6 linked regions of the Xenopus tropicalis genome follow. The protein of the gene in region 2 interacts with the protein of the main gene of each other region in a biochemical or structural test. Links are inferred from orthologs where the notes say so. Each region holds a gene or a part of one and is shown on either strand. Other genes may lie near its edges. The genes, in order: mapt, casp3.2, gsn, rb1, panx1 and birc2.

What was found.
Region 1: of the proteins of casp3.2 (region 2) and mapt, one has a biochemical effect on the other in vitro, tested with the Homo sapiens proteins (3 studies listed by BioGRID). The link is inferred for Xenopus tropicalis from reciprocal best matches to the Homo sapiens genes CASP3 and MAPT.
Region 3: of the proteins of casp3.2 (region 2) and gsn, one has a biochemical effect on the other in vitro, tested with the Homo sapiens proteins (2 studies listed by BioGRID). The link is inferred for Xenopus tropicalis from reciprocal best matches to the Homo sapiens genes CASP3 and GSN.
Region 4: of the proteins of casp3.2 (region 2) and rb1, one has a biochemical effect on the other in vitro, tested with the Homo sapiens proteins (2 studies listed by BioGRID). The link is inferred for Xenopus tropicalis from reciprocal best matches to the Homo sapiens genes CASP3 and RB1.
Region 5: of the proteins of casp3.2 (region 2) and panx1, one has a biochemical effect on the other in vitro, tested with the Homo sapiens proteins (2 studies listed by IntAct). The link is inferred for Xenopus tropicalis from reciprocal best matches to the Homo sapiens genes CASP3 and PANX1.
Region 6: the proteins of casp3.2 (region 2) and birc2 form a complex in vitro, tested with the Homo sapiens proteins (3 studies listed by BioGRID, with this or other methods). The link is inferred for Xenopus tropicalis from reciprocal best matches to the Homo sapiens genes CASP3 and BIRC2.

What each region holds. Positions count from the first base shown.
Region 1 is NC_030686.2:17,258,486-17,262,058, reverse strand, and holds part of mapt (microtubule-associated protein tau), read right to left. Parts: intron 3,314-3,573; coding exon 3,260-3,313; intron 2,732-3,259; coding exon 2,469-2,731; intron 2,319-2,468; coding exon 2,226-2,318; intron 1,567-2,225; coding exon 1,485-1,566; intron 1-1,484. UniProt on the Homo sapiens protein: Promotes microtubule assembly and stability, and might be involved in the establishment and maintenance of neuronal polarity.
Region 2 is NC_030677.2:44,843,761-44,847,989, reverse strand, and holds the start of casp3.2 (caspase-3), read right to left. Parts: upstream 2,852-4,229; 5' UTR 2,771-2,851; intron 1,279-2,770; 5' UTR 1,225-1,278; intron 1-1,224. UniProt on the Homo sapiens protein: Thiol protease that acts as a major effector caspase involved in the execution phase of apoptosis. Following cleavage and activation by initiator caspases (CASP8, CASP9 and/or CASP10), mediates execution of apoptosis by catalyzing cleavage of many proteins.
Region 3 is NC_030684.2:9,687,173-9,690,745, forward strand, and holds part of gsn (gelsolin), read right to left. Parts: intron 2,133-3,573; coding exon 2,000-2,132; intron 1,908-1,999; coding exon 1,819-1,907; intron 1,346-1,818; coding exon 1,130-1,345; intron 1,011-1,129; coding exon 877-1,010; intron 1-876. UniProt on the Homo sapiens protein: Calcium-regulated, actin-modulating protein that binds to the plus (or barbed) ends of actin monomers or filaments, preventing monomer exchange (end-blocking or capping).
Region 4 is NC_030678.2:134,956,804-134,960,376, forward strand, and holds part of rb1 (retinoblastoma-associated protein), read left to right. Parts: coding exon 1-127; intron 128-3,573. UniProt on the Homo sapiens protein: Tumor suppressor that is a key regulator of the G1/S transition of the cell cycle. The hypophosphorylated form binds transcription regulators of the E2F family, preventing transcription of E2F-responsive genes.
Region 5 is NC_030678.2:165,574,076-165,577,648, forward strand, and holds part of panx1 (pannexin-1), read right to left. Parts: intron 1,067-3,573; coding exon 927-1,066; intron 1-926. UniProt on the Homo sapiens protein: Ion channel involved in a variety of physiological functions such as blood pressure regulation, apoptotic cell clearance and oogenesis.
Region 6 is NC_030678.2:162,212,379-162,215,951, forward strand, and holds part of birc2 (baculoviral IAP repeat-containing protein 2), read right to left. Parts: intron 893-3,573; 5' UTR 393-892; coding exon 1-392. UniProt on the Homo sapiens protein: Multi-functional protein which regulates not only caspases and apoptosis, but also modulates inflammatory signaling and immunity, mitogenic kinase signaling, and cell proliferation, as well as cell invasion and metastasis.

The sequences.
Region 1 (3,573 bases), on a different chromosome or scaffold from region 2:
AAACACAAAGTAGTCACGGACGTTGTCAGGAGAAATTAAAAGGGCTGATTTGATGTTCCTCTCTTTATGAAAGATGTGGAAAAAGTTATCTGAAGTTTCTAATGTTTTTCCAAACCAAAAGAACATCAGAAAAGACCTTTTTCATTCTCCTGATAAGTTCCTCAACAACGTCCTCAACTACTGCATGTATGTATGTATGTATAACTTTATTTATAAAGTGCTACAAGGGTACGCAGCGCTGTACAATCTTACAATGTTATAATAAATACAATAAATATATATAAATAGACAGGAAATAAGTGCCATGTGGTATGAGACACAGTAGGAAGGAGGTCCCTGCCCCGTAGAGCTTACAATCTAAGTGGTTGGGTAACATACAGGCACAAATAGGAAGGTAAGAGTGCACCAGGTACAGGCATTTGCCCTTGAGCCCAGGACTGGGCAAAATAATGTTTTAGGGCTCCAGAAGGTAACAGCTGAGCTTTTTCTTAAAGAGAGTGGGTGAGTGTTCCCTACGGAGCGATTCAGGGATAGAGTTCCAGAGGTAAGGAGCAGCGAGATAGAAAGGTTTAAGACGAGAGAGCGCAGTGGGTGTGGATGGTGTAAAAAGACTGAGGCTCCGAGAGGAGCGGAGGAGATGACCAGGAACATGCAGGGAGACCAGTGAAGAAATGTAGTGAGGAGCAGAGGAGTGAAGGGCTTTGAATGTTAGCAGAAGGATTTTGTAAGCTATCCTTTGCTTAACAGGCAGCCATGCTAGAGAGATTGAGGTTGAGGCTAAACAGGTTTCCTCTTAGGAGAGAGCAGGAGGATCCTGGCAGCAGAGTTTAAGATGGATTGTATGGGAGAGAGGTGGGAGTCCGGGAGGCCGGTTAGTAGGAGATTGCAGTAATCTAAGCGGGAAAGGATAAGGCCATGGATTAGTGTTTTAGTAGTAACTTGTGAAAGAAAGGGGCGTATCTTGGCAATATTCCCCTCAGGTTTTGGCAGTGTTAATTAATAACACTGTCAATCCATATTAGAGAAGGAAAGTGACTGGTCAAAGATAACCCCAAGGCAGCGTGCTGATTTAACAGGGTTAATGGTCATGTCATCAATAGTAATGGTTAAAGGAGGAGAAGGGCTAGGTTTGGGCGGGAAGACCATGAGCTCTGTTTTAGCTAGGTTAAGTTTGAGGTGGCATTGGTTCATCCAGGAGGAGATAGCCAGGAGGCAGTTAGCAATCTGGGTTTGTACATCAGTGGTTAGTGAAGGTTAGTGTTCAGAAAGGAACCAGCAGGTGGTAATGTGTGCATTCATATTAACAGTTCTTTAACTCTTAATATCATGGAATTTAAAAATAATAATAGTAATGAATATCAATTGCAAATGTGCCTAGAATAACACTTTCATCAATTTCACATCATCTTGTTTTTTAAGGTTTACTTATCTTTAAAACTGGGCACAAGTTGGGCGAGGCTATGAATAAGTGTGGCCAGCGGTACCTGGTCTGTGGTGGATGTTGCCAAAAGATCCACACTTAGAAGTGATGTGTGTCAAGTCGATCGGCTTGTGAGTTATCTGTATCTGAAAGTGGACAGAAGAGAGAGAGAACAGAGTTAGAAACGAGCAAACGAGAGAGAGAGCAAAATCTAATAGGTCACCTGATTGCTAAAGTTTAGCAGCTCTCTAGGCCAGTGGCCCACTTCATACAAGAGCTCCCTCAATAAGAACCCTGCTGCCTCTGTACAATATGGCTACACAGCACATTAAACTCCCTGCGTTAGTCAGCAGTAAGGTTTATTGCCCTTAAATACAAGTACAGCTGTGTTTACTTGGAAGGGTTGAACTTGAGGCAGCAAATTTGGGCCATAGCAACCATATAGCTGCTAAATAAAAATCTAAATAATTAAAAAACCGCAAGTAATGAAAAATAAAGGCCAGTTGAAAATTTTCAGAGCACTCTCTACAACATATTTAATTTAAAAGTGAACAGCCCCTTTGAGCGAAGCCCCGTCTGCAACTGCAAGAGCACTAAAGCTTGCAAAATTGTAACCCTTAGTGCTTATTACAGAGCCTGTACTTAATGCCTGACATAGGAAAGGTGGTAAGTACAAGGCTTCTCTGCGTCTTGGGTGACCGGCAAGTTAGCGGGCAAGTAAGGATGTGTCGCTCCCTGCTCATCATGTGCCCTGTTGCTTTATCTTCATTGTCTGCATAGCTGTGTATAAAGAGGGGCCACTTACTGTGCCTCCCCCTGGCATATGTTTCAGATTGTCCTTTGACCCACACTTGGACTGCACACTACTCAAATCGATCTTCTTGTGAACTATCTGCACCTGTATAAAAAAGAACAGAGGTAAGTACATTATACAAGGAAAGGAATATGGGTGAGGGCAGTGAGCTCTATCGTGGTTTATGGAATTATATATCCTCTGATCTACTGCACCATAAATCTCTGGCCTTTGCCAAATCTGCTTCCCTGGTACCTTGCCGCCACCTGGCTGATGCCGAATGTTGTCTATTGAGCCGATCTTTGAGCGCACATTCTTCAGGTCAGGCATGGCTGCTGGGCTAGTGACTGGCTGCAGACGGCTCTTGGCAGATGCTGGGGATTTGGGAGGGGTGCGAATGACAGCAATCTTTTTGGGCTCCCGGGTTGGGGGTGTTTGTGAAGAAGAACGTCCAGTTGGTGTGCCAGGTGATCCAGGACTGCTGTACCCGCTCCTTTCACCAGATTTGGGCGATTCTGCTGCAACAAGGGTAAAACTGCATTAGAACTGAACGAGAGGAGAACTACATGACAATTTAGACAAATGGGGTCTGATCATGAAACTAGGAAACCTGAAACAAGCCTGGTACTGCAACACTTGTGGCTTCTCAGCCAGCTGTAATATTCAGCCCGTGGCAGCTGTGTGCATTTGGTTGTTCTAGACCAGTGATCCCCAACCAGTGGTTCGTGAGCAACATGTTGCTCCTCAACCCCTTGGATGTTGCTCCCAGTGGTCTCAAAGTAGGTGCTTATTTCTTAATTCCTGGCTTAGGGGCAAGTTTTGGAGGCATAAAACCTGAAGTACTGCCAAACAGAGCTTTCTGTAGGCTGCCAGTCCATATAGGGGCTACCAAGATCAGCTCAGAGCACCCACACATTGAATGTAATAATCATTATGCAATCGCACTATTGCCTATTAAACATAGCAACGGTATAGTCTGACAGTAGCAACTTAGTAATATTAATTACATGGGTTAATCTGCTCCCCACAGTATATGTGCCACTCACCTCTGTCTGGCTTGGCACCGCTGGGTGGCGGCTTTCTCTGATCCCTTCTGACAGCTGTTAGAAAAGAAGGTATTTATTACAGAAAGCCTTGCACTGTCCTACAGAACCAAGCCCACTCTCCTACAGAACCAAGCATGCTGTCCTATAGAACCAAGCCCACTCTCCTACAGAACCAAGCATGCTGTCCTACAGAACCAAGCCCACTCTCCTACAGAACCAAGCATGCTGTCCTACAGAACCAAGCCCACTCTCCTACAGAACCAAGCATGCTGTCCTACAGAACCAAGCCCACTCTCCTACAGAACCAAGCCCAC
Region 2 (4,229 bases):
AAAGAAGAGAGATAATATGTATTCACTGCAGATCCAGGGATCCCTTATCCGGAAATCCATTATCCAGAAAGTTCCGAATTACAGAAAGACCATCTCCCATAGACTCAATTATATGCAAATAACTCTAAGTTTTAAAAATGATTTCCTTTTTCTTTGTAATTATAAAACAGTACCTTGTACTTAATCCCAACTAAGATATAATTAATCCTTATTGGATTAATTATATAGCAGACTTAAGGTATGAAGATCCAAATTATGGAAAGATCCCTTATGCGGAAAACCCCAGGTCCAGAGCATTCTGGATAACAGGTCCCATACCTGTACAAGGATCTCAGTCCACACACCACTGGCTTTTTTGCAAAATTGTTACTTGGTTTTTAATATAAACTTTATCAAGATAATTCATCAGACTGATATAACCTGCAGCTCTCTAATTACAATAACATGATATATGAAATGATTATTGGAAAGGGTTGCTCAACAAATGCTGAGAAGCAAAGGAAGGGGGGTCTATCTATATGAATCCCTTACTGGGAAGCACCTTCATGGATGTTAAAATAACACATATAAATAAACATCAGTAAAATGCCCATTTGTTTTCTACTATTATGCCTAACACCCTGACTGCTACCTACACTTTCACCTCAGTAGTCTTACAAGGCTCCTGCCCTCATGTTTAGCTCATTTATTCCTTCTCCACATCCCTAGATCAGTGCTGACAAAACTAGTGACTCTTCAGCTGTTTGCAACAACAGTTCACATGAACATCTGAGAATGTTAGCAGCTGTACTTTATATCAGAGCAAAGGCCCAATTTTTAACACTTCTGATCTCCTAAATCCTGACGGTTTCAGTGTGTGTGTGTATTTATATACATTTTATATAAGCTTTACATTTAAAGTACTTATCACTGACTTCAAGTGACTTCCCACTTATAAAATATTCCTCCTATATGTCCCCTGTAATAAAGCTTTGAAGTTGAAGAAGAAGCTCACTAAGGCTAGATTAATAAAAGCTCCAGGCTGCCAAATGTAAATCGGTCATTGGACTGGGTTAAGTTTACCAATGTTGAAAAACAAGTTGCCCAAGGGAAAGGGCATGTGGTAATAACCAGAGATATAGCTAGATAGATAGAGCTCAGTGATGTCAAATATAAGGATAATAGGAATACACTAAATACACTATATATAAGTTATACATAGTTAGAACAGATACAGGTACTCACCACACTCCAAATAAGTTCTGGGTGCTTCCCAAACAAGTCAAATATCTCCACGAACTGGAAGCACACACGGAGAAAAAAGAAGGGTTTATTGATGATTCACATCATTCACCACATCGGTGCGTTTTGGTTCGCCACAGCGGTTCAAAGAGAAATGAAACATGTTGATGTTTATACACAAACACACAAGCCTCCACAAGCTAATGATGATACTTATTACATGAATCATGTCACGGTCAGTGAAAATAATCTTATCTACTTTATCAACAATTTGTTTGCCTTGCACAGGTACATGTGTAAACTTGTAACTTCAATATCAGAAATAACAAACTTGCATTCTTAAAGGGACACTATACATTGAAATATACAGGCACTGGGCTGAGATGCCCACTCTGTGGTGGAGAGGACACAGATCATATACTGTACCTAGATATGAAGGGAGTTATTTTATATATATTATATCTTTATCTTATACAATAAAACTGACTGGATAATAAAAATTAGGACAGAAAACATAGCACTCAATCTATATCTTTTACCTTCCTAGTACAAGAAGTAGACTGTCCCTCTACCACAGTGTATTATAGGATTATGATCTAAATGAAAAATGTGTGCTTCAGGATACTTAGGGAATAATGTACCCCATGCCAGCCATTAGTGAGTTACATTATTACATGTACAAGTCCCTTGTGGGCTGTGCAGATTTTTCACGAGGCTTGTACAGTGCTCATAGTGACAGAATAATACATGTATCAAAAACACGAAAAAAACATTCTATTCTATGTTCTGTACTTATTAGTAAATGGTTTCCTCTAAGTTCCATGGACTGTTAAAAAGCACCTGTACTCAACACCCTGGTCTACTTGTGTTTCATACCATGGCCAACATACACAAATGTACACGAGTGTATGATTTTATAATTACTTATTAGAACACGTGCCTAGATGCTAGTGAAATGTGCACATATGGACAAAGGGCACAGCTGCACCAAAGCATGTAACTATAATTCCTGCCATAAAGCAAGACAGGACTGCTGTGGTATGGCAGGAAAAACAGACAATAAAATAACTACCAGGAAACATTCTGATATGGAAACACAAAATCAAACATTTTCAAATTTTACATGCTGCTTTCAGAAAGAAATAAACAACAATTTACTATTTTAAGGAAGTGCTTGCAGAAAATATATGCTCATAGGAAGTTGGTTTTTTTTTTAATAATTTACCTTACACGAATTAGAACAACGGGAGCTGATAGAGGTGCCTTACAGGAAACTACAGGCTGCCTGTACATAAGAATGAACTTATAAAAGCTAGTTAGCACACACTAGCCTGGGTACTCAGTGCCAATGTGTTCAAAAGTCTGGTACAAAGAATATTTAAAGCAGAAAAGAACACATTATAAAGGTGTATGCCACGTACATAGAGAATGTAGCGCCTCTTGTCATTACAGCACATCCGACATAACTTGTTTTCCTACCCGGCGGGCATATAAATACATTATGTATGTGTGTATATAAAAATACCGCACTAGGATTGTGCACACTTACCCAGAGACAAGGCGGCTATAGCGGAGAGTACAGTACAGGCTGCTCCGTTCCTTCCTTGCTGCTTTTGTGTCTGGCGTGTTTTTCCAAGACAGCAACAACACAAGCGCTGACCTCACACAAAATAGTAAGGGAGGGGGGTTTAATCCAGAGAGACAGCCTGATTGGTCGAGCGCTCGCCTATCCCAAGCTATCTCAGGGGAACCTGTAAACGAACAATACGGAAACGTTCCGACCAATGGGCTGGGCCTTAAACGGAGCAACTGGTGACGTAACGCCATTCTGCCAATCAGAAGCGGAATGCTGGCGAAGTTACCTCTATATCTCCATGGCAGGGATATTCCTGCTGGGTCTCCAGCTCTTACATAGTTAATGAACTAGTGCAGCTATTAGGAGTTCGTGACTGGAGGCTGAAGACAAACGATAGACGAATTCTCTGGGAATGCAGTTTCTGCATGATATAGCTCCCAGCCTTTACCTTGCAGCAGTAGAGGCGGAGTAATAATATGTTTGGGAATGGGCGGGAAATTTGTATATTGCAGCGGGAGCTGATGTGCGCATTGTTTGGAGATATGAGAAGGAAAAGGTCGGGTGACGTATATGTTGCACGTTATAGTTATATTCATTAGTTATAATTAGTTATAATGAGGAGGTTAAGTATGAAAGCAAATCCTACTCTGTAGTATTCTCCTGTCAATGGGCACAGGGGGTGGATTTTTTTTCTCAATAATACAAACTTGAATGGTATTGGGGCTTTTTTAATAGAAATTTTATTTCTATTTATTTGACATTTTTATTGAAAAGGAATGAGGTGTAAAATATGTGGAACTGGATCCTTATATCACCTTGGGGCCATGGGATTAGTTGGAACTTCTGGAAAAACATGATGGGTTGAGAAATTCATCAATAAATCATGAATCTACACAACTGTAAAGAAAAAAAATACATTTCATTACAGTAGCAACAGCTCCCCTTTAATAGAAGAAAACAATATCTTAAATGTAAAAAACAATGAATAGGTGCACTACTCAATCAGGTATTGTATGGAACCATAATTATAGTATTTCCCTATCAGTATAGGCTCATATAGTGAAAAATGTACCCCTATTGTAAAATATAAGGCTATTATAAGTCACTGGGGAGTTCCACTACAATATAGAAGCACAAGGTTGAAAGCTGGGTGCTTTTACATTGGAAGAGGAAATACAAGACCCAAGAAATTTGTAATGTGACCATCAAGCAGGATAACTTGAATATAATTAGGCAGGAAAAAAGATAGTTTGTACTCAATAAAGTAGGCAAGAAGTCCAGGCACGCTGCCTGGGACCAACGATGAGAACTGATAAATTGCTGTCAGATTAAATAAAGTGGGACAGAAAGTTACAATAAGTAAAAAAAGAAATGGTTATGTAGAGCTATTTCAACTAATTAAAATAAGGGTTCTATCAATTTGGGTTATGCT
Region 3 (3,573 bases), on a different chromosome or scaffold from region 2:
TAGTTACCCCCCCCCCATAGCATATATAGCTCCCTATAGCATATTTAGGTCCCTATAGTTAGCCCCCTATAGTATATATAGCTCCCTATAGTATATATAGCTCCCTATAGTTAGCCCCCATAGCATATATAGCTCCCTATAGCATATATAGGTCTATATAGCATATAGAGGTCCCTATAGTTAGCCCCCTATAGTATATATAGCTCCCTATATTTACCCCCCCCCCATAGCATATATAGCTCCCTATAGCATATATAGGTCCCTATAGTTAGCCCCCTATAGTATATATATAGCTCCCTATAGTAAGCCCCTTATAGTATATATATAGCTCCCTATAGTAAGCCCCTTATAGTATATATATAGCTCCCTATAGTAAGCCCCTTATAGTATATATATAGCTCCCTATAGTTAGCCCCCATATCATATATAACTCCCTATAGCATATAGAGGTCCCTATAGTATATATACCCCCCTATACTTAGCCCCCCTATAGTATATATAGCTCCCTATAGCTACCCCACTATAGTATATATAGCTCCCTATAGTATATATAGCAAAAAAAAGCATGACATTGCCTCAGCTGGGACAAGGGCTGGGAAAGGTTTGGTGGTCAGACGAGACCAAGTGCTTTTTGGCCAACATTCAAAGCAATGTGTGGTTCAAATCTACAACTGCCCACCTCCCACTAATACCTGTGGTAAAGGATAGTGGTGGTAGCACCAAGCTGTGAGGCTGCTTTTCAACAGAAGAGGCCATGATCTTCTTAAGCAGAATGAAAAATGGATGGTGGGAAATACTGGAGACCCATGTTGAACCCAAAGAGATGGTCAAATTAACCATGGAGGGTCAAGAGATTCCCACAATGCAATACCCTACCATGTGTAGATGATCTGGCCTTGTTTTCCGCCGTGCTTATAATTATACAGAATGATGTAGCTGTCTCCACCATAAAACTGGCCGTAAAGGGATTTAGAAACAGGAACTTTCTTGCAGTCTTCAATACGCCAAATCTGGTAAAATAACAAATGATCATCTTGTGGGTCATGAAGTGCACGATTCCCAACTGCCCCCTAGTGACTGAAGGTAAGAAGACCAATCAATGGATTCTGATCATGGCATTAAAACTCACCTGTTTTTGGCCAGATCCATCATCCACCATGCCGTGCTGGGCAGCCATGGCCGGGGATTCGTGTAGACCACTGACGTCGAAAGGCACATTTTCAATTTTGGCGATGTGGTGGGGGACGTAGGCAACACCCATGCCCTCGGTGGCCTCCTTGTCTTTCCAATTCTTGAAGAACTGTTTGAACAGGGGAGTCTCGCCATTCTCTGGCAACACTTGGACCTGCGGGAAAATAGAGAATATTGTAACCCTGACACAAGAACCAATGAAAACCCAAACAGAAGGGTCTACAGCAGCTTGGACCAACCAGTGGCTCAATCATTTCAACGTTGCTCCTGGTGGCCTCTAGACAGGCGCTTATTTTTGAATGGAGGAGGCAAGTATAAAGACAAACAGAGCCTCCTGTAGGCTGCCAGTCCGTATAGGGGCTGCCAGTTAACCAATCACAGCCCTGATTTGGTACCCCCAGGTACATTTTTCATGCCTTTGTTGCTCCCCAACTCTTGAATGTGGTTCATGGGTAAGAAAGGTTGGGGACACCTGGTCTACAGCAATAGTTCTTGGACCTTTTTTGGTTTGAGGTCCCCTAAAGGATCAACATGTGGTATTGGTAACAAAGCTATGGATATAAGTAATGCAAATCAATGCTGGTTTGGGAGCCTGGCATTACAAAGCCAGGAGATGCCAGGACCCACCTGAGTTTGCTTTGGGTAGCCCATCTTGGAAATGAATTCAGTGGCAGTCTTTAGTGCAGCTTTCTTCTCTTCCATGTTGGCATTCCTTCCTAGAGACATAGGTTAAAATGTTAGGACACTGATGTGGGTCTAGATACTCCGAATCCCCAGACACCCACAATATGCCTTCACGAATACAAACCTTTCCATACAAAGATCTTTCCATCTGAGCCGTGATCAAGTACAAAGCAGTCATCTGAGTTGAGGGCCGCCTGGGTGAAGGGGTTTTGATCTGCCACTAGAGACACCGTCATGGCACCCTTTCCATCAGAGACCTTGTAAGGTGGAAAAGGAGAGGTTAAATCCATAGAGAAAGCTTCACATTCAAAGACCCTTTAGGCTACTACACACACAGTTAACCTCAATTTGCAACTAAACACAAATAAATACTAATATATAATCTATATATATATCTCATGTATTCTTTCAGCTTTGGCACATGTATATTTAAAGTTTCAGACCACATGGATGAACAAATATAGTGAACATTCCATTCCATGTATAATACCCCAGAACACACGGTAGAATAAATACAGGACCAATATTCCAGAATATGCATAATACCCCAGAATTGGCACTGTATTTATCCTGCTGTGGGTTCTGGGGTATTATACATGGAATTGGCACTGTATTTATCCTGCTGTGGGTTCTGGGGTATTATACATGGAATTGGCACTGTATTTATCCCGCTGTGGGTTCTGGGGTATTATACATGGAATTGGCACTGTATTTATCCTGCTGTGGGTTCTGGGGTATTATACATGGAATTGGCACTGTATTTATCCTGCTGTGGGTTCTGGGGTATTATACATGGAATTGGCACTGTATTTATCCTGCTGTGTGTTCTGGGGTATTATACATGGAATTGGCCCTGTATTTATCCCGCTGTGGGTTCTGGGGTATTATACATGGAATTGGCACTGTATTTATCCTGCTTTGAGTTCTGGGGTATTATACATGGAATTGGCACTGTTTTTATCCCGCTGTGGGTTCTGGTGTATTATACATGGAATTGGCTCTGTATTTATCCTGCTGTGGGTTCTGGGGTATTATACATGGAATTGGCACTGTATTTATCCTGCTGTGGGTTCTGGGGTATTATACATGGAATTGGCACTGTATTTATCCTGCTGTGGGTTCTGGGGTATTATACATGGAATTGGCACTGTATTTATCCTGCTGTGGGTTCTGGGGTATTATACATGGAATTGGCACTGTATTTATCCTGCTGTGGGTTCTGGGGTATTATACATGGAATTGGCACTGTATTTATCCTGCTGTGGGTTCTGGGGTATTATACATGGAATTGGCACTGTATTTATCCTGCTGTGGGTTCTGGGGTATTATACATGGAATTGGCACTGTATTTATCCTGCTGTGGGTTCTGGTGTATTATACATGGAATTGGCACTGTATTTATCCTGCTGTGGGTTCTGGGGTATTATACATGGAATTGGCACTGTATTTATCCTGCTGTGGGTTCTGGGGTATTATACATGGAATTGGCACTGTATTTATCCTGCTGTGGGTTCTGGGGTATTATACATGGAATTGGCGCTGTATTTATCCTGCTGTGGGTTCTGGGGTATTATACATGGAATTGGCACTGTATTTATCCTGCTTTGAGTTCTGGGGTATTATACATGGAATTGGCACTGTATTTATCCCGCTGTGGGTTCTGGTGTATTATACATGGAATTGGCACTGTATTTATCC
Region 4 (3,573 bases), on a different chromosome or scaffold from region 2:
TAAAGCTTTTGACTTTTACAAAGTAATTGAATGCTTTATCAAAGCAGAGCCAAGTTTAACAAGCGATATGATCAAGTACTTAGAGCGCTGTGAGCATCAAATTATGGAGAGCCTGGCTTGGCAATCAGTAAGTAAAGCTTTTTTTCCATTGACTTGTCCAGCATTGTACATTATTAAGCAACGTGAAACCGTTTTATAAATCTTTACTGAATTTTTAAATCCACTTTTTTATCTATAATTCACAAATTCACAGAGTAATGTTCCTGCTAAACTGTGCTCTCGTTCTTCAGCACAAAGCTTTTGAACTAAGCACAAATTAGGGTGCATGGACTTTGTAGGGGTGCACAGTCCCACTCATCATGCTACAAACACAATTTTAAAAACTCTGCATAAAATTCATTTTTTTGATCACAGTCAACACAAATTTGGGGAATCTTAATTTAGAAATGCAGTATCCACTCTAGGATAGGTTTTGAACCTATTGATGTTTCATATCTTTGCTCTTTATTATGTAGTAAAACCTGGCCCATTCTGTTGCCTCAATTACCTTCTTTGTATATTAAAATCCATTTATGACTGGATAGGAGGATTTATTTGGCTTGTATATGTCAGCTATATTTATTTTTGGGGGTTCTGATGGTGTTTATAAAATATTCTACATAAGCCCAAATGAGCTCGTTTCAAAAAGTGTCCTTTCCTTTTCAACCAGGATACCCAAGATATAAATATTAATTTGACCTACATAATGTTTTATATATTTGTTTATTATAATTTACCCTCAAAGCCTATCAGAAAAAAACTATAGGTATTTTGAAATAAAAATTAGTACAGGTATGGAAACCCGTTATCCAGAATGCTCCAAATTACGGAAAGCCTGTCTCCCACAGACTCCATTTTAATCAAATAATTCATTAATTTTAAAACTGATTTCCTTTTTCTCTGTAATAGTAAAACAGTACCTTGTACATGATCCCAACTAAGATATAAATAATCCTTATTGAATGCAAAACAATCCTATTGGGTTTAATTAATTTTTTATTGATTTTTTAGTAGACTTAAGATATGGAGATCCAAATTACAGAAAGACTTCTTATCCGGAATACCCGTGGTCCCGAGCATTCTGGATAACAGGTCCTATACCTGTACAAAGTGTGCAAGGTACAGTTACATTAAAGCAGCGGTTCACCTTTAAGTTAACTTTTAGTATGTTATAAAATCGCCTGTTCCTAGCAACTTTGCAGTTGGTCTTCATTATTTATTTCTAATAGATTGAATTGTTTGCCTTCCTCTTCTGACTATTTCCAGCTTTCAAATGGAGGTCATTGACCCCGGCAGTCAAAAAACTATTTCTCAAAGAGGCTACAATTGTATTGTTATTGTTACTTTGTATTACATATCTTTCTATGCCGATCTTCTCTTCTATGCAGATCTTCTCCTATTCATATTCCCTGCTCCTGTTTAAACAGCCTGGTTGCTAGGGTAAATAAGACCCAAGTAACCAGATAGCTGTTGCAATACCCATCTGGAAAGCTGCTGAACAAAAAGCCAAATAACTGAAAACCCATAAAAAAAATGAAGACCAGTTGCAAATTTTCTTAGAATATCAATGTCTACATCATTCTAAAAGTTAATTTAAAGAGTAAGAGCTAAGTGGATGAGATCCCAGCCCCATGGGGCTTTCTTTGTTCCAAGAAAAGTTTAAATTTTTTTTGTAAACTTTGTTTTTATTGTTTTTTTACATGTTTCGTTGGTACATTTATTTCACATGTTACATGTATATCATTTTGTTTATTATAGAGAAAAATGAAAAGGTTAGGGGAGATGGGAAGAGGGGGGAACGGGGAGGGTATAAGGGTCAAAAAACATTTTAACATTTTGCGCTCTAGGTCTCTAAGCTGGTACTTATCGTCCCTTACTAGCATTTCAATTTCACCTTCACTTATTTTTTACTTTTATCCGTTTTATTTAGAGGGGGTCCTACCCATTGCAGTGTGTTCGAGAGAGATTGTCCTTATTTAGTATCCAGGTGTCCCATATCTTTAGGTATAGGTCAGTTTCGTTGTCCAATTGATATTTGAGAGCTTCGTTGGCGTGTATATATTCTATTTTGTCCAGGACTTTTTCTATGGATAGTAGATTTGATTTCCATTGGGCTGCGATGTGGATTCTAGTTGCCTTGCATATATGTTGTGTTAAGCGTTGTGCAGAGTTATTGAGGCCTTGTAGTTTGTGTCCTAGGAGCATTGTCTTAGGGCATGGTTGGATGTCCGTATGGAACATTTTAGAAAGGATAGTGGCTACTTTTGTCCAGAGTTCTTGCACTGTTGGGCAGGTCCACCATATATGCCACATAGTGCCTCGTGTGGTGCAGTTCCTGAAGCAAAGTGGTGACGATGTGGGGTAAATTCGGGAAAGTCGTTCGGGGACATAGTATGTCCTATGGAATAGTTTGAGTGAGGTTTCCATTATAGTTACGTTGTAGCTACCTTTGAATATATTTTGGTAGTTTTTAAGCCATGTTTCTTGGGGTATTTCTGTTTTTCGGTCTTATTCCCAGTCTAGCATATGTTGCAGTTTATTTTTTGTATGTATATGATTTAGGTGGTGGTATAGTAGAGATAGCGTTTTCCGGCCCATTGGTGAGGCCTCGCAGATGGTTTCCATTGCTGTTTTATGCATGTTTGTTTTTCCCCATAGTTGTTGTATAAAATGGGTTATTTGTAGTGCATGGAAGTGTTCAGTTGGGGGTACCTTGAATTTTTGCATTATTTGGGTTAGTTGTAAAGGTTTGGATCCGTCTGTGAGTTGGTAAGCAAAGGATATTCCTTGCTCCGTCCACCATTTGAGTCCTTATTGTATCCTGGGGTGAAAAGGTTGTTTCTCCATATTGGTGTCAGCCTTGAGGGCTTTGATGCTAGCTCATATTTGTATTTAAGTGTGTTCCATAGTTGCAGCATTTGGCGAGTTATTGGTGATATGTCTTTGAGCATTTTAAGATCTTGAGTCGGATTCCAGATTAGGCTCGTTAGAGAAGTCGGTTGTATTAGGGCAGATTCAATTTCGACCCAGAGTGGGGCTAGTGTTTCTCCATGTAGTGGGGCAATTTGGGCACATCTTGCTGCCCTGTAATATTGTTGTAGATTTGGGACTCCGAGTCCTCCTTTTGATTTATGTAGGCACATTGTTCTTTTATTAATCCTTGGTCTTTTATTGTTCCAAATAAACATCATAACAGTTCTCTGGAAGCTTTGCAAGTCTCTCTGTGAGATTGCTATGGGTAGGACCCTAAAATAGTACAGCAGTTTTGGTAAAGTCGTCATTTTAATACAGTTAACCCTCCCCATCCAAGAAATTTGTTTCTTATTCCAGCCCTGCATTTCCTGTGTTAAACTTCTATATAGTTGGGGGTAGTTGCGTGTGTACATAGTGTCTAGGGTGGGGGTTAAACTTATGCCTAGGTATGGTAGGTACTTCTCCCTAATCTGGAACTCAAAGTTGAGTTTAATAAGTTTTACCGTGTTTTTGGGGATATTACATGGCATAAATTCGCTTTTGTCTTGATTCAGTTTAAGC
Region 5 (3,573 bases), on a different chromosome or scaffold from region 2:
TAAATAAGTAGCTAGTTTGCCTCTAAATGCCCAAGCTCTGTAACAACTGCCTAAGGCAATATGAGCTTATGTTCATTACAGAAAGCATGGCACAGGGCAACTATAATAATAATGGGATCATGGTGCCTTTAAGCACAAATATAGACTGGGTAGGGACAGCACTGAATATTCTAGGGTAGCTAGTGCCCAGGGACAGCCTGGCATACGGAAGGGCAGTACCCTTTTACAGCTAGAAAGTCAAAGCTGTTACACTATGCTGGGTATGGGATTCCCTTGTGCCTCTGTGTAGATGGAAGGGAAAAGACTAAAGGTCCCCATACACGGGCCAATTCTAGCTGCCGATATCTGTCCCTTAGACCAATTCAGCAGCTTATTGGCCCGTGTAGGGGCACAAACGACAGGCCTGCCCGACCAATATCTGCCAGATATCGATCAGGCAAGTTAAAAAGTGTACTCGGATCAGGGACCGAGACTGCGCCTATTACCGGCGTTCTAATTCGTTCTAGTTCGCATTAACCTAAATTCACCCGATATCACCCACCCGTAGGTGGGGATATCGGGAGAAGATCTGCTCGAGCGGATCTTAACGTGTGGCCACCTTTAGGAGCAACAGCATGTTACTTAGAATAAGGACATGGCAATACTACTGGGTAACATCTCAATGTGCACCATCCTTAGATTCCATTTACAATCCATGTGAACAAGAGAAAAAGCGTGAAATGTGGAGTTAAATAGACATTATATCTCATATGTAATAAAAGGCACTAAGTTTGCCCATGAGCAGTAACCCATAGCAACCAATAAGATATTTAAACAGGTGACCGGTAAATGCTACCTGCTGATTGGTCGCTATGGGTTACTGCTCCTGGGCAAACTTTGCGCTGTTTATTACAATACCCCTATATGTGCTACTGTCTGGGACGTACCTTATGCAGCCACAGGGGGACATTCCCAGAGTCGCTCTGAGAGAGGTGTTTTTGCTGAACTGCTGCCCAACAGAAAGAGTCGACGTACGCAGCCTGGCGCCATGAGAAGGATGTGGGGGCAAAACAGCTTATCTGGGAACCTGCAAAGAACAGAAAAGGGATACAATGAAGCAAAAAATAATAATGTTCAGGGGCGAGCTGCATATAGACACTGCATATATTCCTTTATACCACAAACACTGCATTAGATTTATTAAGCGAGTATGTGAGGTTGCCCCAATATGATTGGCTAAGAATTAAGAACCTATAATGAACCTTGTAGGCTAGAATTTCAAACCTCTCTAACCCTGTCCCCATCCTTATGCCCAAATCAGATTAATAACGTTTTATACTGGCCAAGGATGGGTAGATCTGGTCAAGCAAGGGCTGGGCCAACCAGATGGACCATGCACATCCATCCCACAAGGACCATATCAGAGACGAACGGGCGGAATATCTAATTATGTCGTACAACAAGGTCATGGGGCAAAAAATCTGCCTGTTTGGGGGGATTCATCAAGTTATAACTTCAGAATGAAAAATTCTGCCCCCACTGAGTTACTCAGCCATACAGAAGCTCTGTTTTATGAATGTAGCCCCGCCCAGTATAGAGAGAGAATACAGATGGAGCACACAGAGCAGGGCTATTTCCACTCTATGAAATATGAAAGCCATAGAACCCTTGGAACCTACAAATTGGAGAAAAGGATAAAATGTAGAAGTTGCAAAGAATAAATAAGTGTGAAGAGCCAATGGGGATATGAACAATACCCCATTTAGGGTCCATATTAACATGCAGGATATTGGGGGGAGTGGAACCCATGACCCGGACAGTACCAGGCTTTCAGCAGATAAACACATGAGCCAAACTCTAACTTGTGATACACAATCCCTTTTATTCTCCCCCTTATGATACAGAACCTTAATATATGCAGAAAACTGATTTGTCTGCTCTGGGGACAAGGACAATGGGCACTTTATGAACACGCGCTTGTCTTGATAGATGGGTCTGTACCAAATATAATTGGATCCTACTGAACAGAACAAGGATTTAGTGAGAAATGTGCATGTAACATTAATACTGACTGCTGACTGACAGACAGAGGGACACATATAGGAATCACATGCAGAATATTATACACCCCCATAACTGGGGCACTGAGGGGTACCCAGAGTTTGTGAACAGGACATACCCAGGGACTACACAGCCTCTTGCAATAGGATTTATTTGCCCACTCAGGTGCTCAAAGGTTCAGCTGAACTGGTTACATGTATGGGACCAGTAATCCAGATTGTTTTGGACTCTGAGTTTTCCGGATAACTGATCCCATACCTGTATATGATGTTTACAAACTTAACCATTTACTGGAAACCTTCCAAGAACATTATGGGCTGTTACAGCAGCAAACCGAGGAGCAACTTCTTAATACAGGTATTGGATCTACTATGCAGAATGCTCGGGACTTGGGGTTTCCAGATAAGGGCTCTTTCCATAATTTGGATCTCCATGCTTTAAGTCTACTAAAAAAATAATTTCAACAATAAGCCCAATAGGACTGTTCTGCCCCCAATAAGGGGTACAGGTATAGGACCATCCAGAATGCTCGGGACCAAGGGTATTCCGGATAAGGGGTCTTTCTGTAATTTGGATCTCCATACCTTAGGTCTACTAAAAAATCAATAAAATATTAATTAAACCCAACAGGATTGTTTTGCATCCAATAAGGATTAATTATATCTTAATTGGGATCAATTACAAGGTACTGTTTTTTTACTACAGAGAAAAAGGAAATCAGTTTTAAAATTCTGAATTATTTGATTAAAATGGAGTCTATGGGAGACGGGCTTTCCGTAATTCGGAGCTTTCTGGATAACGGGTTTCCGGATAAGGGGTCCGATACCTGTAATTATATCTTAGTTGGGATCAAGTACAGGTACTGTTTTATTATTACAGAGAAAAGGGAATCATTTAACCATTAAATAAACCCAATAGGGCTGTTCTGCCCCCAATAAGGGGTAATTATATCTTAGTTGGGATCAAGTACAGGTACTGTTTTATTATTACAGAGAAAAGGGAATCATTTAACCATTAAATAAACCCAATAGGGCTGTTCTGCCCCCAATAAGGGGTAATTATATCTTAGTTGGGATCAAGTACAAGGTGCGGTTTTATTATTACAAGAACAAATTCTGAGATTATTCTCAGATTATTATTAATTCTGAGTTTGTTTTTAGTCAGAAAGGAGAGACAGTAGATGGTAGGAGTTATATTATCTATAATAAGCACAATGCTGCAGAGAGAGTCGGTCACCCCTAGGCACCAGGCCCTTTGCTCACTGTCAGTCAATGTGGCTGCCTCCTGCCCGGCTTGTTATGGGCACAAACAGCTCGGGGTATGACCCAATGCCACACACAGCTCTATTCTGGGCACACAGAGGCTTCTCTGTTAGTGCTGAGTAAATAATCGGATCAGGCCGTTCTGATTTCAGATCTGCGGCGGGGGAATAAAACCAAAACATGTGAATCTGATTTAAGCCGTATAAAGACACAGTTCATTGCTGGCTTTGCTCATTAGTTCATATTAAGGATATTAGATTTAGTTATCACA
Region 6 (3,573 bases), on a different chromosome or scaffold from region 2:
TCAGCAGAAGCAGCAGGCATGGATGTACTGTTGGAGGCAGGTGGTGAGAAGGCAGAGTACAGAGATGCGCCAAGATTCACTGAAGGGACATTCTGAATAAAACTACAGCTGGGATACAACTTTTTGTGCTTTTCAAATGCATTGTCACCTTTCTTCCAATTATCAAGCATCAAGCCGCAGGTAAAGCACTTGACCTTGTCATCTTGCCCGGTGTAATAAAAACCAGCTTTTGCAAGGTTGCGCTCAGACACATGTGTATTGCTTGGAAAGGAGCTAAATGTAGAGAGACGGTAGAGTTCACATGAGAATTCCAAGGTAATTTTGCACATGCTTGGGTTTGACTTCAACCTCTTAGCAAGGTCTGGGCGTCTGTCCAAAATCTCATTTGCCATGGTTTGTGAAAGGGAAGGAAGGGGGCATCTTTCCTAGGGAGATAGTTACTATATTATCAGTTACGTTTCCTATTCTGCAACACAGTTCTAATAAAAACATGCAGTGAATGCAAAGATTTCAGTGCTACTGAACCACATCTAGTTAGCCAGCACAATCTTATGGTGGCATGCACACTGGGAGCTCTTACTTCTACCTACACTCTATTCTTTCTCTTATATACAATTCAGGTAGGATAGTAAAACGCTAGCTCTTCAGTGCTAAGATCTTTTTTAAGTTGATTGCTACATTTCATTGTAAGAAATACTCTATAATCCATTATGGCCATAAATGCTACGCTTTCTGTATTAACTATAACTAAAGTGGTGGTATTTAGTACCCCTAAGAAAGATGCCCCCTTCCTTTTGTAAGGGTTTAGCAAGCCATAGTATAATGTAAATAGCAGTAGAGAAAAACAAAATTCTTCTCCAGATCACCGCATTGGTCGGTGAGACATCAGCACCTAGAGGAGTGGGCAAAAGACTCTGAGTTAGTTACGTTTAACATATTTGTCCTATAAAAGGGTATTAATTAACAATGCTGGAATAACATATATTTGACAAATTATCAGATTTACAATCTCCAGCTCCAATCTAATTGTATTAGTGCCAACAGCTGCAATTCTTATTTAGGCAATTGCACATGGGGATTTGTGATCACAATTAAAAAGTCAATCTAAACACAAGTGTTCACGTGTTTAACCATGGGACTGTCAGCTGATGACAAATGTAAACAACACCCCAGCCTATCAGGGCTTTGTGCTACCCTCCTAGTGCCACGTGGAGAGACGCTGGGTCAGTCACCAACACAGGCCAGTAATGGTTTTCTGAGAAAGTCAGATAGTTTATTAATTGGATAGTAACATATTTCTAACAAATGTGGAAAAATGTCAATATCCCTTTACAAAGAAAGACTTTGACACTCGACTTTTTACATGCAACCACACCTTTTTTAACTTTTTTAACTTTTTTTTTTGACACACGGCAAACTTTTTCCACACCGAATTTCGCAAAAAAATCTGCCAATGGAAAAATGCAGTTCACCATAAATACATTTTCTGCAATGATATATTTAATCAGGACAGGACATATTTAATTACAGGTAAAGGTTATAACTAAAGGGTAATTTTTACCCCTGGTCCCACTATCAGTCAGAATACTCATAAACTAACTAGGAGCCCGTGCAGAGGCTCATAACTAACTAGCAGCCCGTGCAGAGGCTCATAGCTAACTAGCAGCCCGTGCAGAGGCTCATAGCTAACTAGCAGCCCGTGCAGAGGCTCATAGCTAACTAGCAGCCCGTGCAGAGGCTCATAGCTAACTAGCAGCCCGTGCAGAGGCTCATAGCTAACTAGCAGCCCATGCAGAGGCTCATAGCTAACTAGCAGCCCGTGCAGAGGCTCATAGCTAACTAGCAGCCCGTGCAGAGGCTCATAGCTAACTAGCAGCCCGTGCAGAGGCTCATAGCTAACTAGCAGCCCGTGCAGAGGCTCATAGCTAACTAGCAGCCCGTGCAGAGGCTCATAACTAACTAGAAGCCTGTGCAGAGGCTCATAACTAACTAGAAGCCTGTGCAGAGATCATTTAGGCTACAAGGTAATCTCATCCCTTATATTCCCAATATTAAAGGAGCAGTGAAACCCCCTTATCTGTTGAGGTGGAGGGGTTTACATCCAACTTTAGATACATTGTTAGAGCAATGCAGCCAGTCCCCTGGCTTGGGGAAAGGCACAGTGTACAAATCACATATGCATTTTGTGCATTCTCTCTAGCTATAAATTTTACCGTTTGGGTCAACGTCCCCTTTAACAGGCAGCCCATGGTGTGCTGCCAATAAACAGGAGTGACACTGCCATAAGAAACACAGCTGTCTCCCCCCCCAGAGAAAAGAGTTTTAGGCATGATGATAAAATCTAATATGTCTCCCCTCTCAGTGCAGAACTCAAGCACAACTTTACATTGCAGATTTCCTATGGGGCCCCAGAAGGGAAAGCCTGCAAACGCCTATCACGAAAGGAATGTGCTGCTGCAATAGCAAAAACAAGATCCCAAGCTCCTACGACCCACCCTACTCTGTTCCATACTCTGCCCGTAGAAATGGCTCAGGTTTTATAAACATACACGAGGCGATTTCGCTCGTTGTGCGATGAACGATTATATCGACAAACGATCGTATGGCGATCGAGTTCCCATACGATATGCCATCCACGGGCAACGATAATTCGGGAAAGATTTTGTCGCATCATTATCGTAAAATACCTACGATCGTACATCTACGTACGATCGAATGTCGTTGACTTCCGCTGCTGGCAATCGTGACATGCGCAGAGAACAATCGTTGAAAGACAAATGTCTGACACTCACACCAACTGGCAGATTTTATCGTTAAACGACCAAAATTTTTAAACCTGGCCGATCGATTTTGGGGACGATAATGTCGGCTCGTTTAGTGGGCCGACGATCGTTCGTACACCACCAACTATACGATAACTTAACGATAGCATCGGATCGTTCGCGAATCGGTCGTTTGTAAGTAAAAAATCGGTCCGTGTATGGCCACCTTTAGGGTGAACACACACTGGGCTACTAGTAGCAGCTACTTTTTCAAGGCTACTAAACTCCAGAAAATCCCCTGCCACAGACAATACTGAGAATTGCCTCTGCTAAAACTCACGTAAAGACAATTATCAGAGTTCAACCCAGATCCTGACAACCCACTCACAGCATTACATGGGAACCTAATTGGTTCATTGGAAGCACTCCGTAATGCACCGTATAGGAAAAAGAGGGACATAATACCTCTTCCAGAAGTACTTACTACCCCAATGACAGCATGGGCTAAATTGATAAAGCAAAACAGAGTAAACATCAAGGGTCATTCACTACAAATGCCACTATGGAATAATACTAACTTACAACACTTTAAGGAATTGCCTGATTTCCAATACTGGCCAGCCAATGGGGTAAAATGGCTCTCGGATGTGCTAATTAATGGTATCTTTGTCCAATTCAATATACTCAAAGAGAAATTGGAGAAGCCAAACTTGCAGTTTTATAGATACCTTCAATTAAGGCACGTATTCAAAGCGCAATTTGGTTCACTAACAATTGACACGAGCTCAACCCCATGGGAAATAAGACTCTG